Arabidopsis thaliana: one gene and its partner. The protein of the gene in region 1 interacts with the protein of each later gene in a pairwise test. Each region holds a gene or a part of one and is shown on either strand. Other genes may lie near its edges. The genes, in order: AT3G61320 and DGK7.

Region 1 (7,609 bases):
CACAAGGCAATTGGCGTGAAGTGGGTGTATAAAGCAAAGAAAAACTCTAAAGGAGAAGTGGAAAGATACAAAGCAAGATTGGTTGCAAAAGGTTATAGTCAAAGAGTCGGAATTGACTATGACGAGGTATTTGCTCCCGTTGCTCGTCTAGAAACGGTTAGACTAATCATCTCACTAGCGGCTCAAAACAAGTGGAAGATACATCAAATGGATGTCAAGTCGGCCTTCTTAAATGGAGATCTTGAAGAAGAAGTTTACATTGAGCAACCACAAGGCTACATAGTCAAAGGTGAAGAAGACAAAGTCTTGAGGCTAAAAAAGGTGCTTTATGGATTAAAACAAGCCCCAAGAGCTTGGAATACTCGAATTGACAAGTATTTCAAGGAGAAAGATTTCATCAAGTGTCCATATGAGCATGCACTCTATATCAAAATTCAAAAAGAAGATATATTGATCGCATGCTTATATGTAGATGACTTGATATTCACGGGTAACAATCCAAGCATATTCGAAGAATTCAAGAAAGAGATGACGAAGGAGTTCGAGATGACGGACATTGGATTGATGTCTTACTATCTCGGAATTGAAGTAAAACAAGAAGACAATGGAATATTCATAACTCAAGAAGGCTATGCTAAGGAGGTACTTAAGAAGTTCAAGATAGATGACTCAAATCCCGTTTGTACACCAATGGAATGCGGAATCAAACTATCAAAGAAAGAAGAAGGGGAAGGAGTGGATCCAACAACCTTTAAGAGCTTGGTTGGAAGCTTGAGATACTTAACATGCACAAGGCCCGATATTTTATATGCGGTCGGAGTTGTTAGTCGTTACATGGAGCATCCAACAACAACTCATTTCAAAGCGGCAAAAAGGATTCTTCGCTATATCAAAGGTACTGTAAACTTTGGCTTACATTATTCAACTACTAGTGATTACAAGCTTGTTGGATATAGCGATAGCGATTGGGGTGGAGACGTAGATGACCGAAAGAGTACAAGTGGTTTTGTGTTTTACATTGGAGACACGGCTTTCACATGGATGTCGAAGAAACAACCAATTGTCACTCTATCCACTTGTGAAGCGGAGTATGTAGCGGCTACGTCATGTGTATGCCATGCTATTTGGTTAAGAAACCTCTTGAAGGAGTTAAGCTTACCACAAGAGGAACCAACGAAGATCTTTGTGGACAACAAGTCGGCAATAGCTTTGGCGAAGAACCCGGTCTTCCATGATCGAAGTAAACACATTGACACACGCTATCACTACATTAGAGAGTGTGTTAGCAAGAAGGACGTGCAATTGGAGTATGTGAAGACACATGATCAAGTAGCCGATTTTTTTACCAAGCCTCTCAAGCGTGAAAACTTTATCAAGATGAGGAGTTTGCTTGGAGTAGCAAAATCAAGTTTAAGAGGGGGTGTTGAAAGTTAAACTTGATTTTGAATCAAGTTTAATTATTGGATCAATTATCCAATAATTAATTATGGCCAAATCCAAGTTCTAGAGTTTTCTCTAGAAATATCATCATTTCCACCTCCTTAAAAGATTCTAGAAATTTTCTAGAATCATCTTCCACCTCCTTAAACATAAAAATCTAGATACTCTAATAGAATAATCTAGATAATTTGAATAATGTAATCTAGATCTTATGTAAGAACTCTCTAGACTTAGGATTAAAATATTTTAGATATTTTGTAGTTTGGAGGCTATAAATACCTCCTCCCCCTCTCAAATGTTGCAATGTTGTGAAGTTGTATTCAAGTTTAAAGCAAAGTAATAAAAGTTCTATTTCCTAAAAAACTCTCTCAAAACACTTAAACACTTTCTCCATTACCTCTAAAAGAATTTTACTCTAACATACGATACGTATATATCAAAGCTAACCTAAGCCATCACATGTTCTTAGCTCCCTCGGGAAGACAACCTACATCACTCACACCAACCGGTAATCAAGATCTATGGCGACCATTTGATGAGTGCTTGAATTCATGGAGCTTTATCTTTGCAATGATGCGGTTACGTATGACTTTCTCAGATTTAACAGCTTCTTGGATGTTACTATGCACAAGATCGCAAAGCTCATCTAAGGCCAACATAGGAAATGGTTCTTCTATAAGAACACCCACCTGCAGAGTTTCCAATCCAAAAAGAAGGTTTAATGGTTAAGGATTCAAGCAAAAGAGGGTAAGTATGGAGGAGGAGGAGGACAAAGTACTTCTTCTATGCAGAACAGAGAGGCAGCACTAATGAAAGTAGCAGGAACAACAATCCAATGGCATTCATCCCAGAGAATGATTGGGAGAGTTAGATGCCAAAAGACTAAAAACCTCGAGGTTAAGCGTGTGTAAGAGAGAGGAATCGGAATGCCCATGAGTTGTTCACAAACTCCAATTCCTTCATGTAAATGCAGCATCTTTGATTCCTGCAATGACGCAAAGAACATATATTGGTGTCAAGTGTTCATAGCAAAGAATTTTAATAGAGAGTTCAAGGATTCAAGAATGCTACCAACAAATCTCTCTTTGCATCGTCTAGTTTTAGCAACTGAATGCTCTGAGAAATGAACTCGATTACACAACGCGGACGATGCTTTGCTTGAAGAATCAGAGATAAGTCATCTGCTTCTATCAAGTTCCGGAGATCTCTTGCTATATCTGAACCATAAATCACATGACACTGCAAATGAAATTAAAGCATCAGAAACCAACAATAGAGTCAAGCAAGAGATGAATATTTTTTACCTTAAGAGCAACAGGGAAAGCTGCAATGTAACGAAGAAGCAAATCTTTGATGATCAATTCATCACCGGAGCTATCAACGGAACAAATAACTTGCCTAGCTAAATCATTAGTTCCAGCAATAATCCCAACCCAAGCTTTCCTTCCTTCTTCATACCTAGAATACGAAGCCTCCGTACGAAAGACCAGAAGAAGAGCCAAAGCCGGAGCTGTGAGCTGATACGGCAACGACGAGGATCGAAGAATTGGAAAAATACCAGGAAGCCAATCCAAAGCCACGGCGGAGTTGTAGCTAGCGATCACAACCGCGACGCTTGTGAAGAAGAAAACAGGTGGAATCAGGGAGAGTATAACTCGTGAAGAAAAGCTCGAGAGTAGATGACGCACATGGCGAAGAGAGCTTCTATGTTCAACCCATTTCTCGTGTGTGTAGAGAGAGCGTTTCTGCTGCATCCCACGCTCTTTAATCTCGTCTGCCCAATCTGGAACAGCTCTGAGGAGATGGATAAGCTTATCGGTTAAGGTTTCGTGACCTGAATCGTTGGATTCAGGACCAGATGAGACACGGGGAGGTTTGAGATTGACGGATTTGCGGAATCCGGTGGAGAATATAGGAAATCGTGATTCGAGGAGTGATCGGTGAGTGAAATTGGAAGAAACTGATAGATTCATGGATTGATACATTGGCGGGAAAATAAGGGGTTTTAGGTTTAGGGTTTGATAGAGACGAAGATGAAGAAGAGAAATGGTGGTTGACACATGAGGCTGCGTAAGGGTAGCAAATCGGAGGACTTCGAGAGGTGAAAAAACAAGTGATAGGAAAAAGGTAGTTGAAACGGTTGTTCCAGGATTGTTTACGTTCCACATTCAAACGTCGTCGTTTTAGGACAACATTGGGCTTTGATATGTTAAATACTGGGCTTAATTATTCTAAACGACGTTCGTTCCACGACAACATTGGACTTGGATCTGTTAAATGTTATTTTGTTTGAATATACTGGGCCTAATTATCCCACCGACGATTCGACTTCGATGTGTTTTTGTTTGATGTGTTAGATACTGGGCCTAATTATTCCTATCCGGCCCATAGAAGATTATAGCAAACAATTAATGTTCTTGTTGATCTTCTTCACTTCACTTCACATGACATGAGTACTAAACGTTCAGATTCTGTATTGTTGATAAACTCTTGGGTCCTAATGATTATTGTTTGTAGAGAAAAATGAAGATTTAAAGTGAACAGAACAGAGACAAGAACAATATTTACTCCACAAAATGGGAATTTATATTCATGTTATATGTCTCTTAATGCCAATATATAATCATTAGTCTCAAGTATTTATGGTAAAATAGAGTCTAAAGATAGATTGGGGGATTCATAAATTTTGAAAGCTTATGATGAAGTGGAAGCCAGTGAGGAACAAAGAAAGTCTTGACTAGATCACATCACTATTCTCTCACTCTCGACATCAGAAGCGTGAGATTCACTCTCTCATTCCCAATGCTTCGTTTGATACACGCACCTAATCTATAGCGTTGAGAATGAGCCACACAAAGATGATGATGATGATGGATGGATGGATCCCTCCTACAAATTGCTAGATGCTAGAAAGAAGTCTATTAGAGAGATAGAGAGAGAGCTTATATCACAGTCAAAAGTCAGAGACTTCAAATTTAATTTCGAATTTTGAAATCCTGCCTCATCATCCCATTGTATTGTAATCCACAGTAAATGCTTGGAGAAAGGATCTTTTTTTGTTTGTTTCTGTTTTCCCTCTGTCACCCAGTAAAAGAAAAAAAGCAACATCACATACACTCTGAAGAAAGAAAGAGAGAGAACCCTAGAAAACTTTTTTTTTTCTTCACCATTGTTGATTGATGGATGAGAAAGCTTATTCACACTTCATTTCTTTGCTTTTGGTGAGAGAATGAAACAGAGAAGAAGAGATGAAGAAAATTAAAGTTCTTTCCTTTTCTCTTTTGGATCTAATTTCATCTTGAGATTTTCTCATAGCTTGATACTAAAGCTACATAAAAAACAATTAGGTGAAATGAAAGTTTGTGTGTTTTGATAAGTTTTCAGAGATTTTCGGTTGCATGTTGTTATCTTGCTCTTGAAGTCTATCGAACCCTTTTAGATTCTGATTTTGTTCTCTTCTTATCCCTCCTCCTATAAGTTAGCCATTTAGGGTCCCCATCGAATTTTACTAAGTTAAAGTCAGAGTCTTTTTGGTTAAGCTATGGATCGAAGAGACGCAATGGCGTTATCCGGGTCGGGTTCTTACTATATCCAAAGAGGAATCCCCGGTTCTGGTCCTCCTCCTCCTCAAACTCAACCAACGTTTCACGGATCACAAGGATTTCATCATTTCACCAATTCCATCTCTCCTTTTGGGTCAAACCCAAACCCAAATCCAAACCCTGGAGGTGTCTCTACTGGATTCGTGTCTCCTCCTTTACCCGTTGACTCTTCTCCGGCTGATTCGTCAGCGGCGGCGGCGGGAGCTTTGGTTGCTCCTCCTTCAGGTGACACGTCTGTGAAGCGGAAGAGAGGACGGCCTAGAAAATATGGACAAGATGGTGGTTCTGTTTCGTTGGCATTGTCTCCTTCTATCTCCAACGTTTCCCCGAACTCTAACAAACGTGGCCGTGGAAGACCTCCTGGCTCCGGCAAGAAGCAACGGCTATCTTCCATTGGTAATATCCCTAATCTCTAACTTATGAGTTTTATTTTCCGACAAGGACATTGGCTCTGAATATGGTGGGAAGTTTTGAGCTTAATTGATGATATAGTTTTTCAAATGAGGACATTGGTGGGAAGTTTATTATAAGCTAATTCGAACTGTTAAGGATTAATTAAAGCTGTGGAATTTTATAATGTCAAATTGTTGAATTCAATATTTATTCTTTTATTATTCCTTGGCCTTTCTCTTAAACTTTGTTATTGCTCTGTTTCTCCCTGATTACAATTAGCTGTGATTTTTCTGAAGACATTTGATTCTTTTTTGTAAGGTGAAATGATGCCTTCATCAACTGGGATGAGCTTCACACCGCATGTAATCGTAGTTTCCATTGGTGAAGTATGTTTCTTCTGTCTCCTCTTGAATAAATCTGTTCTTTTTTTTCTTTGTAATCTTGCCTCTAGTTCTTGAGATAACCATACTCTCGGTGTTGCTTTCAGGACATTGCTTCAAAGGTTATATCGTTCTCGCATCAAGGTCCACGAGCGATATGTGTCTTATCCGCAAGTGGTGCTGTCTCTACTGCAACTCTTCTTCAGCCAGCACCTTCTCATGGAACTATTATATACGAGGTTTTATTGAATCATCACTCACATTTTATTATCTTTTAGAAGACAAAAACATTACTTATTTTGGTGTATACTTTGAAACTTATAGGGTCTATTCGAGCTCATATCTCTCTCAACTTCTTATCTGAACACAACTGACAATGACTACCCAAACCGCACTGGAAGTCTAGCGGTCTCACTTGCTAGCCCCGATGGTCGTGTCATTGGTGGTGGAATTGGAGGTCCTCTAATAGCAGCAAGCCAAGTCCAGGTGAGCTTACGCTTGTTATCAAATTCCTTAGATGAATTTAGATTTCTTATGCTTAACTATGTGTGTTTGCCTCCTTAAAAGGTCATTGTTGGCAGCTTCATTTGGGCAATTCCGAAAGGGAAGATTAAAAAACGTGAAGAAACTTCTGAAGATGTCCAAGATACTGATGCTTTGGAAAACAACAACGATAACACAGCAGCAACGTCACCTCCTGTTCCTCAGCAAAGTCAGAACATTGTTCAGACTCCTGTAGGCATTTGGTCAACTGGTTCAAGGTCAATGGATATGCATCACCCCCATATGGACATTGATCTAATGCGTGGATGATTCATGTATATATAAGCATTGAATCTAGGAGAAGAAGAAGAAACTTGAGCTAACCTCCCTGAAACAAAGTAGTCTATTGGTATTGTTTAGGAAAGAAAAAGACAATTAGTAAGTTTAGGAATTTCTGCGTGTTTTCGAGCTTTCAGTTAGTTGATTTGGTCTCTTGACTTGTTATGAATGGGAAAAAAAATTGCTTGTTTCTTATACGTTTTAGCATTCTACAGCATACAATCTGTTTTAGCAGGAAGTCGTCGGAAGAAATTAATAGGTCCAGGAGGTGTCTTACCCCTGAATCTTGGAGGTCTCATGATGTATAGTCCGGCGAGAAGAACAAAAACCTTAAACGGCACAACATACAAAACGACAGTAGAAACCAAACAAAGCACCATGAAGATCGAAGTTGCTCTTGGATCTCTCCAGCTTAACAGAGCCTGAACTCGTTCTCCTTGACCTGCTATATCTCCCACAACCGTTTGAGCTCTACTAGCGATACTCCTTAACCGCTCGTACCGCATTTTTACAATCCCCGGGTCTTGAGACGAAAAAGGGAAGGTATCGAACTCTTCGTTAAGCTCTTCCGGGTGGATATTGTCTGCAAATGATAGTCTTGTGTCCATGTGTGGAGGTTGTCTTGGACGGAGCCTGTAGTTCCATACCCCAAGCATGAACAAGCAAAGAGACATCACTGGAAGAATCATCTCCGGCGAACACACTAACACCAAGAAGATTATATGAATAGCTGTAGTTTCTACCGGTTTCTTCCACCTGCAGATATCTTGAAACCATTCTCCGGTTCCTAGTAAACCAGAGAAAACAGAACTCAATCTGAAGAGATTTGCACGGCTCTTCCTCATGCTCCATAAATGCGAATTTGAATCCGAAATGTATTCAACTACTTCTTTTCTAAGTGGCGGCTCGGCTCTACTTAACCGAGCTGCCACTAAGTTAACCGCATGCTGCCTAAGAATCTCCTGCTGCACT
Region 2 (8,892 bases), on another chromosome or scaffold:
ACGCAAAGAAGAGAATAGTTTTATTGTGAAGACCGATAAACAAAAAAAAGTGCTGGTTTAAAAAGATGTTAAAGAGTTTCAGCTTTCTGCATTTATTATAACTTCACGTACAACTCTTGTCGACCTTCTGTGTCTTTTAATGCCTATCATTTCTATTTACCATTTTGCCCTATATTTCTGTCTTTTGATAAGCAGAAAGTGAGCAAAAAATTTTGTAATATTTGAAAATAATTGAATAAATAAACAGAGTATAATTTTCTTTTCTTTTGACAGCAATACTAAAATATTTTATAGTGCTTACATATTAGTAAATAATATAATACTCAGATGTTTATGTATAAGTTTTCAATCTATAAATTTGTTCCGAATATAACATAAATTTTCATTTCATTTTATAAACAGAAATTAAAAGTTTGTCCTAGTTAACTATCTTATGCCATAGAATTTTGTGAACATAATTAGAGTGAGACAAACCGTAAAACTGATCACTCCAAACCGTTTCAAATAACTAAAAGCATAATTAAAACCAATAGTTTTTTTTCATATTCAAATTAAGTGTTGGTGTTTTACTAACTAATCATTAAGAAAATGGTAGTGTAGAAAAAAAAACAGCTAAGTACTTTTAAAGTCATCAAAAAGAAACTTGAGTTTTTTAAACTTCGCAAAACATTCTGTAGACGACTTTGTAATATTTTGCTAACAAAACAGCTAACATTTTTTTTCTAAGTTTATTAAATCTGTTGAATGTTTGAGTCATTTTCTTTTCTTTTACCATAATATTGTAGGCCAATAAAAGATGAGAGGTACCGACTAGTTGTGCAATCAATGCATTCATCATGAAAAAGTTGAATTCTCTTTGACGCGTTAGGGACTCCCCGAAAAGGTCTACCTTTTCCATTTTAAAGGAGCACAAATTTTTTAATGCGATTTCTAATTTCATAAGGTATATGATCATGTGAAGATGAAAAAAGCCTTCCTCAAAGGCTACTTATTAATTTGTGCAGAGAGACTATCATATGTATAGATTAGATAGCACAATTTAGTTCTTCCAAAGTCATCAAAAATAAACTTATGTAAGTTGACGTAAATAATACAACGATGATCATATTTCAATATTTCATATAAAAGGGCCTCTCGCTGTGGAAAAATATTTGATGCTTCAATGATCAGAGGCAAATCAAAATCTGTAATGAAGGATTTATTATAAAACTAAAACTATAATTTGTCATTAAGCTACAAAACCCATTCTTAAATCTCAACTAAACCCATTAAGTTCATTATTGGTAGGGCCGAATCACATTGATGGCTCGCTTTTCTTTCTTATGATAAATACAAATTCTTAGGTGTACTTTGAGTGATTCAAGTGTCACATGATGCCACACTTATTTCTTTCAAAACATCCTTAATTACAAACAATTTTATTTTATGATCAATAAATTTTAATGATATTCAGTCACAATAATCTTTGAAATTACATATATTCAAACTTGGTTATATGCATCCATGCATAATTGAATATTAGTATCATTTGAGTTCACGACTTTAATACCATCACTTCCAAACAGAGCGGCCCAACTCGAATCCATAAACCAACACACACAAAATAGACACAAATTGAGTCTATGGATTAAATGTCAACACTGATCCACTATAGTCTATATTTTTATAATTTTTATGGAAGAGTTTAGTCGAACTTCAGTGCGAAAGAAAGAAGGCTAAGCAACCTTAACAACTCACTTAAGATTTAGCCGTGAAACTAAAATTTGGCTAAGCCTCAAACCTGAATTACCCTTGTTTGGGTTCATATGCCGACTCATTACGTCCCACCGCTACTTCCAAAGGCACGAGTCCATGTGGGTCATAAAATGACGTGTACTTGTTTTTTTCTTACAGAGATGAAGAACTTAACTGATTTGATTCCGTTCAGAAACAACGGATTGAAAACATGTTGATTCCGATTCGTATAATGTCTAGATTCCTTTTCTTTAACTCGTAAATCCTTTCTTGGACGCGGTTTCGAGACTTTGACGTTGATAAAATGTGAATATGTGTACATGTCCACCTTTGCCTCTTACGTTGACGGTCGACAACTTTTTGCAAGTCTTCCAATTTCTTTCCATTTATGCAATTTTTCCCCTCAACCTATTTATATCTTCACTATATGCTAATCTACTCATTTTAAATACTTTTCATTAAAGATCAAATTTAAGATTAATCTGAAAGGTACCAAATTTTATTTATGATTGGAAAACGATGCCTAACCAATAACAAAAATGACTTTCATTAGCATTTTGATTTATTAAAATCCTGAAAATAATTAAGTTGGTCCTAGACACAAAACTAAAATATATCATTCCACCAACATCATCATCATATAATAGAAGTTTATAAATGTTTTATTTGAATTTTAGTTCAAGTTACTTGGTTTTAGAAAATGCGTAACCAATATAAAGACGGCTATAGTATGAAGCGATGTTGATGCGGAATTGATCTTTAGTTAAACAGCTCTTAACTTTTACAAGAATTTAAGTTATATCTCAATTAAAATTTGGTTTCGACAACCCCTGAATCGTTTGTTTGTTGTGGAACGAAAGGTTTGTGTGAATTGCTTTAGGCAGGTTACAGAGGAATTAACATATAATTCAGGTTTTTTTTATCTATTTAAACAGTTGAACAGTTTTAAGTTTTAACCATACATGAATATATTTTTATCTTGATTATTCAGTTACATTTGGATTGAATAGAGTCGGTTAATCCAAATTAGTCACCTTTTCATAAGATTGTTTATATTGAAGAACTAACTAACGTATGAGAATCAATGTTTAGACAGACTTGAGAGCATTTGTGAAAAATTTAGGTCCCCTGTATACCCATAAAACCCATAGGCTATAATGGGCTTAAAAATACAAGATAATTGTTGTATGGATCCTAAAATTCACCACCTCGGCCCATACGTGAGTTATGTAAATGAAAGTTGAAATAAAATAGTTATGTAACGCACCGGTTATTTAGGATGCAATAAATATATAGGCATATCTCCCTAACCAGAAAAGAAAAATGAATATTGGACAGCTTCACGATCTAATAACACACCACACCCAGTAGGGCAATATAGTCATAAATATGCGGCCCATATGTCACATCCTGACACAGTCCACTGCCTCATTTAATTGTCCCTTTTACCCTTTTTACAATCTTAACGTGACAAGTAAAGCATTTAATAGTCTCTCTTTCTGTAAACTTACATAGTTTTGCATTTACAAGTCAAATATCAAAATATGCAGGTATTATTAGGGGTTTTAATTAGGGTAACAAGTAAAAAAAACTTTAAATTTGTAGTCTTACGATAGAAAAAAAACTTCCTTCTCATTCGCCTTAAAAGATGGTCACATATAAATCAACGAGATTTAAAAGTAGTGGCAATTCTGTAAATTCGTAATACTAGTAAGGGCATTTTCATGTCGTTTTTTTAAAAAGTTGCAAAATCTACACGTTTAAATACGCACATCGAAGTACACCGATTTTGATTTGCTCTGTCTTCGAAAACTAATCTTAAAAAACAAAACACAGAACTGTCAATTTATTAGTCTTATTGAATTGTCTTCAAAGTTCGATCATTTTTTTACGTTTTATTTTAATTTGTTTCTCCAAGAATCTGATAATGGAGGAGACGCCGAGATCAGTCGGCGAAGCATCGACGACTAATTTCGTGGCGGCGAGACCGTCGGCGAAGACCGATGATGCAGTGACGATGAGAGGTTGTGGTTTTGCTAATCTTGCCTTGGTTGGTATAGACAAAGAAGAGCTTCGAGGGAGACTAGCGATGCCTGAGTATCTTCGTATAGCTATGAGAGATTGTATCAAGAGGAAAGATTCAACAGAGATTTCTGATCATTTGTTACTTCCTGGAGGCGCCGCCGCTGATATGGCTCCTCACGCGCCAATGGTTGTGTTTATTAACCCGAAAAGTGGTGGTCGTCATGGTCCTGTTCTTAAAGAGAGGCTTCAACAATTGATGACTGAAGAACAGGTCTGTTTTTTAAAAAACAAAAACTTTTTTTTTGTTTGCAACTTATGAAATGAGCTCACTTTACTTAACTTTTGAAATGAACTTGAGATCATATTTTTGTTTGAAGAAGATTTTAAATCTTGATTTGGGAGTTTACTTTCTTTTTGACTTCACTAGATTTGTGGTTAGATTGTGAATGGAAACACTCTGTTTTGGTTTAATGAGTATAACTATGAGCCTATGGCATTCTTATTGTTCTGACATCATCAAATGTTCTGTTTTTTTTTTCTCTGTAATTTTGTTTAGAAGAAGTTATAAACTGTTTTGTCTTAAAAAGACTGTGATTCCTCCTTAGTTAGTGAGCTCATGTTAATATTTGCAATGACAGGTATTTGATCTCACAGAAGTGAAGCCTCATGAATTTGTACGGTACGGTTTGGGGTGCTTGGACACATTGGCTGCTAAAGGAGATGAATGTGCAAGAGAATGCAGAGAAAAGATACGGATCATGGTGAGTATCTATTTCCAAAGTATTAGTTAGCAATTGGAATTAGATTTGCTAAGTTAGCGGCGATGATTGATGATAGGTAGCAGGCGGTGATGGTACCGTTGGTTGGGTTCTTGGATGTCTCGGTGAGCTTCATAAAGATGGTAAATCACATATTCCTCCTGTTGGAGTTATACCTCTTGGTACAGGAAATGACCTCTCCAGGAGTTTTAGTTGGGGTGGTTCATTCCCTTTTGCTTGGAGATCTGCTATGAAAAGAACATTACATCGAGCAACTTTAGGTTCCATTGCTCGATTAGATAGCTGGAAGATTGTAGTGTCGATGCCATCTGGAGAAGTCGTTGATCCTCCTTATTCTTTGAAGCCTACAATAGAGGAAACTGCACTTGATCAGGCTTTGGATGCTGATGGAGATGTACCTCCTAAAGCAAAGTCTTATGAAGGAGTGTTCTACAACTACTTCAGCATAGGTTTGGAATTTGGATACATGAAGTAACTTTATCTTTCATTGTTCTTAATAAATTTCTACAAAGTTAAACCTTTTGAAGTAATTTGGTATTTTCTTGTGTTGTTTAGGTATGGATGCTCAAGTTGCATATGGGTTCCACCATCTTCGCAATGAGAAACCGTATCTAGCTCAAGGCCCTGTTACAAATAAGGTTGCTATATATCAGAATCTTCATTCTTGTCTAAGTTTCATTAATTAGCTGTTTTTTTGGTTTGTAATGAGATTATGAATCACACTCGTTTCGGTTTTGCAGATTATCTATTCGAGTTACAGTTGTACTCAAGGTTGGTTTTGCACGCCTTGTGTCAACAATCCAGCTTTAAGGTTAGCATTTTCTGTGAAGAGAGTAAACCAAAAGCCTTTTCTTTACTCAATTCCTGTCTCTTGTTGTGTTGACATGTTGTGGTAAGATGAATTTGCAGGGGACTAAGAAACATTATGAAAATCCATATTAAAAAGGCAAATTGTTCCGAGTGGGAAGAGATCCATGTTCCTAAGAGGTTCATATAAAACTAATCTTATCTTTGATTAAAACTAAAAAAATGGCTTCACTTATAATCTCTCTGGTTTTGTTTTGGTGTAGCGTAAGATCTATTGTGGTGTTGAATCTTTATAACTATGGAAGTGGAAGACATCCATGGGGTAATCTCAGACCAAAATATTTAGAGAAGGTAATAATGTTTTATTCAGTACACTAATCTTAGGTTTTATTGCTTTCTCTACAAGCTTTAACAGAACGTGTTCGGGTTTTATAACAGAGAGGATTTGTGGAGGCGCATTGTGATGACGGACTGATAGAGATCTTCGGTTTAAAGCAAGGTTGGCATGCGTCATTTGTAATGGCTGAAATTATCTCAGCTAAGCACATTGCTCAGGTACAACAAAATACATCCAAAGTTTCTTTATAAGAATCGGTTTAACCTCGGTTTGATATTAAACCGTTTATCGTTTTAGGCGGCTGCGATTAGATTTGAACTAAGAGGAGGTGATTGGAAAAATGCATTCTTGCAAATGGATGGTGAACCATGGAAACAACCGATGAAGAGTGATTATTCGACTTTTGTAGAGATAAAAAAGGTTCCTTTTCAATCGTTAATGATCAATGGCGAATGATCGAGGAAACTCTTTTCAAGAAGTTGTAAAAGGATTAAAAAAGCATGATTCTTTATGTATTTCTGTTCCATCAATTAGTCAAAATAGTGATCTATGTTGAGCTTTTGCTACGGCTGTTGTTGTGCTAGTGAAGCATTTAACTTTGTGTATTTTATCAAAAAAAGATGGTTATTTATTCAATAGTCATTAATATACAATTAAGATATAAGCAATCATCTTCAGGTAGACCTTGAAATCTTGTAAACATGATTTTGCTGTCTTTAAACTCTGTTTCTTAAGTCGTTTTTCAGTGTTTTGGAGATAGTAGTAATGGGTCTAAAAAGTTAAATAATGTTTTTGTGGGGAGAAAAATGAAAATAGCAGATTTTCGAGGATGGGAAGAGTAAAACATATATTTGAGAAGTCGAAAAGTGTGAAATATTTGTTCTGTCTCGCGAGGAAGAGAGAAAAATCGAATTAGAAATTGCAAGTTTTAGGGTTTTAGAAAATCTATCTTCTTCACTGAGTTTTCCAGCTCCGAAGAACACTTGCAACTTCAGGCAATTATGGCGAGCACCAAAGTTCAGAGGATTATGACTCAACCCATTGTACATTCCTCGATTTCTGTTTACTAATTCGATCTTTTTTTTTTTTTATTGTTTCTGTTTAGCTCACTGTTCTTCTTACTTTTGATTTCAGAATCTGATTTTCAGATTTCTCCAAAGTGTAAGTTTTTCGATTACTCTGTTAATTTTCGTCACTTTTACTCTATTTGGGAACACCATTGAGTTTGTGAGAGGTGTGTACTTATATATATAGTGTGGTTCTTCTTATAATGTAGAAAGCTCGGATTCAGATTTGGCTTTTTGAGCAGAAAGATTTGAGGATTGAGGGACGAATTACTGTAAGTCATAATCCTGTTTCGAGCTTAGCACAAAATTTTGAACTTTCTTGCTTTGTTGATAGGTTAAACTAGAAAATTTGACATGCTTGTGTTAGTTAAGCTGTGTGATTCTAGCTACACTTTTAAAGTGAAGTGTAACATCTTGGAATTTTTCATAATGCTGTTTCTATTTGTTGTTCGAATTTTGATTGCTACGCTGATTTAGTTACCGTTGAGTTTATATACATTGTTTGATAGTAAGGGACCAATTGATAGCAATGAGTTCGGTTATTTCGGTTGGTGCGTATTATCTAGATTTAAGACTGAGATTGTATTGCTAGAATTTCTTTCTTGAGATAATAACAGAGTTTGTTCTTTTCTGTGAAGCTTAAGATTTATCAATGTCTTGGTTGTCTTAGATCTTTAACCACGAGTTGTTTAGTTGACGTTGAGTGTTTCATTGTTTCGTTATTTTAACATTTGCATTGTGCAGGGTTTTGATGAGTACATGAATTTGGTGCTGGATGAGGCAGAGGAAGTGAGCATCAAGAAGAAAACCAGAAAACCACTTGGTGAGTTACTTGCTACTCTCCTACAAGACTCCTTTCACATTTCTTATATTGGTTTTGTTTTTGGTGCTAACTCTCGCAAATACTGGATTTTCAGGTCGGATTTTGCTTAAAGGAGACAACATAACTCTCATGATGAACGCGTAAGTATCATTATTATCCTCTTCAGATCCTTTCTTTCCCATATCTCTCAATTCGTCTCTCCATGAATGTTGAGATACAAACTCAATCCCTTATATATCTTATTACAGGGGCAAGTGATGTCTGTTGCAGTGCAAGGAATGATCTAATTATATGGAATGGTTTAAGAGTTCCTGCTCCCCTCTCGTTTCTCTGTTGGGTAAAAGTTGTCTTTTTGCTGTTTACTTCTGTCAACTTGAGAAATTTCAACTTTGCAAACAAAATTATGAGAAAATAGTTTCATCAAAAAAGACCTCAAATCCAAGAAGATTGTAGAAATGTCTAATATTTGTCTATTTGGTTAGATTACGATCCAAAATCTGATATTAATATGATTCGTTGGTCTTATTAGTCAAAAGAAGGCCCTCGCATAAATCACACATAAGAAAATGTTGGGAGAAACATACGTTGTGTTGTTTTCCCGATCTCACGTTACCAATAAAAAATAACATTGTATACAAAAAGAGAAAAAGTTAAAACGTAAGAACAACCTCTTTTAGCATGAGTTTTTTTAGATATACAAATAAAATCATACTCAATAAGGCTTCCTACCAAGAAAATTCCCCGGTGGATCATAATTGCAAGTCAAGAATACGCCTCCTCCGCCATTGCAGATCACGTGAGCGCAACCAATCTTTTGTGTGTTCTTCCACACGATTTGTGTGTAATGGCCACACATCTCGGAGTTGCACGAGTTAGATCTATAGTTATAGCTCCTTGCTTCAGACAACCATCCATAGGCGGCTTGAGATGGACCCCATCTATTGCCTGAGCCCCAAAAGAGATTCTCACCATAGGGTCCATTGGAATGGGTCAAGGCGCAGTCACCGCGTCTCTGGTTAGCCCACCATTGCGCGTAACGGGCCAATTTGGCGTCCCACTTTAGCGGTTTGAGCCTTAAATGAGCTCTTGCTGCGTTTTGTGGACCCATGAATTGTTCTTGGTATGTTGCACAATGACAACATGTTACAAGTAGCATCATAGCCGTGATTGCAACCGAAACACAACTAGGAAAAGCCATTTTGGGTGAGGCTTGAACAAATGGTATTTGCTTATGGTTTTATATAAGCTTGGAAGAATCATGAAGAGAAAATTGTTGGTATGATTTTTTTAATATTATAAGGGAGAAAGTGTCAACTCTAT

What was found.
Region 2: the proteins of AT3G61320 (region 1) and DGK7 interact in a protein complementation assay, tested with the Arabidopsis thaliana proteins (one large-scale study listed by BioGRID).

What each region holds. Positions count from the first base shown.
Region 1 is NC_003074.8:22,689,818-22,697,426, reverse strand, and holds AT3G61320 (Bestrophin-like protein), read right to left. Parts: upstream 3,620-7,609; 5' UTR 3,609-3,619; coding exon 2,745-3,608; intron 2,680-2,744; coding exon 2,512-2,679; coding exon of another isoform or gene 2,491-2,511; exon of another isoform or gene 2,426-2,490; coding exon 2,219-2,425; coding exon of another isoform or gene 2,174-2,218; exon of another isoform or gene 2,130-2,173; coding exon 1,953-2,129; 3' UTR 1,673-1,952; downstream 1-1,672. Other genes in the region: AT3G61310 (AT hook motif DNA-binding family protein), read left to right, coding at 4,982-5,438, 5,754-5,821, 5,923-6,054, 6,140-6,301, 6,383-6,628; AT3G61300 (C2 calcium/lipid-binding plant phosphoribosyltransferase family protein), read right to left, coding at 6,847-7,609. UniProt on the Arabidopsis thaliana protein: Voltage-dependent chloride (Cl) channel critical for proton motive force (PMF) partitioning across the thylakoid membrane by anion influx into the lumen during illumination, thus being required for photoprotection under fluctuating light conditions.
Region 2 is NC_003075.7:14,835,711-14,844,602, reverse strand, and holds DGK7 (diacylglycerol kinase 7), read left to right. Parts: upstream 1-3,455; 5' UTR 3,456-3,661; coding exon 3,662-4,030; intron 4,031-4,397; coding exon 4,398-4,520; intron 4,521-4,596; coding exon 4,597-4,987; intron 4,988-5,093; coding exon 5,094-5,176; intron 5,177-5,278; coding exon 5,279-5,349; intron 5,350-5,447; coding exon 5,448-5,525; coding exon of another isoform or gene 5,526-5,535; exon of another isoform or gene 5,536-5,608; coding exon 5,609-5,696; intron 5,697-5,783; coding exon 5,784-5,900; intron 5,901-5,979; coding exon 5,980-6,138; 3' UTR 6,139-6,431; downstream 6,432-8,892. Other genes in the region: AT4G30330 (Small nuclear ribonucleoprotein family protein), read left to right, coding at 6,684-6,725, 6,817-6,843, 6,959-7,021, 7,494-7,572, 7,667-7,712, 7,821-7,830; AT4G30320 (CAP (Cysteine-rich secretory proteins, Antigen 5, and Pathogenesis-related 1 protein) superfamily protein), read right to left, coding at 8,285-8,770.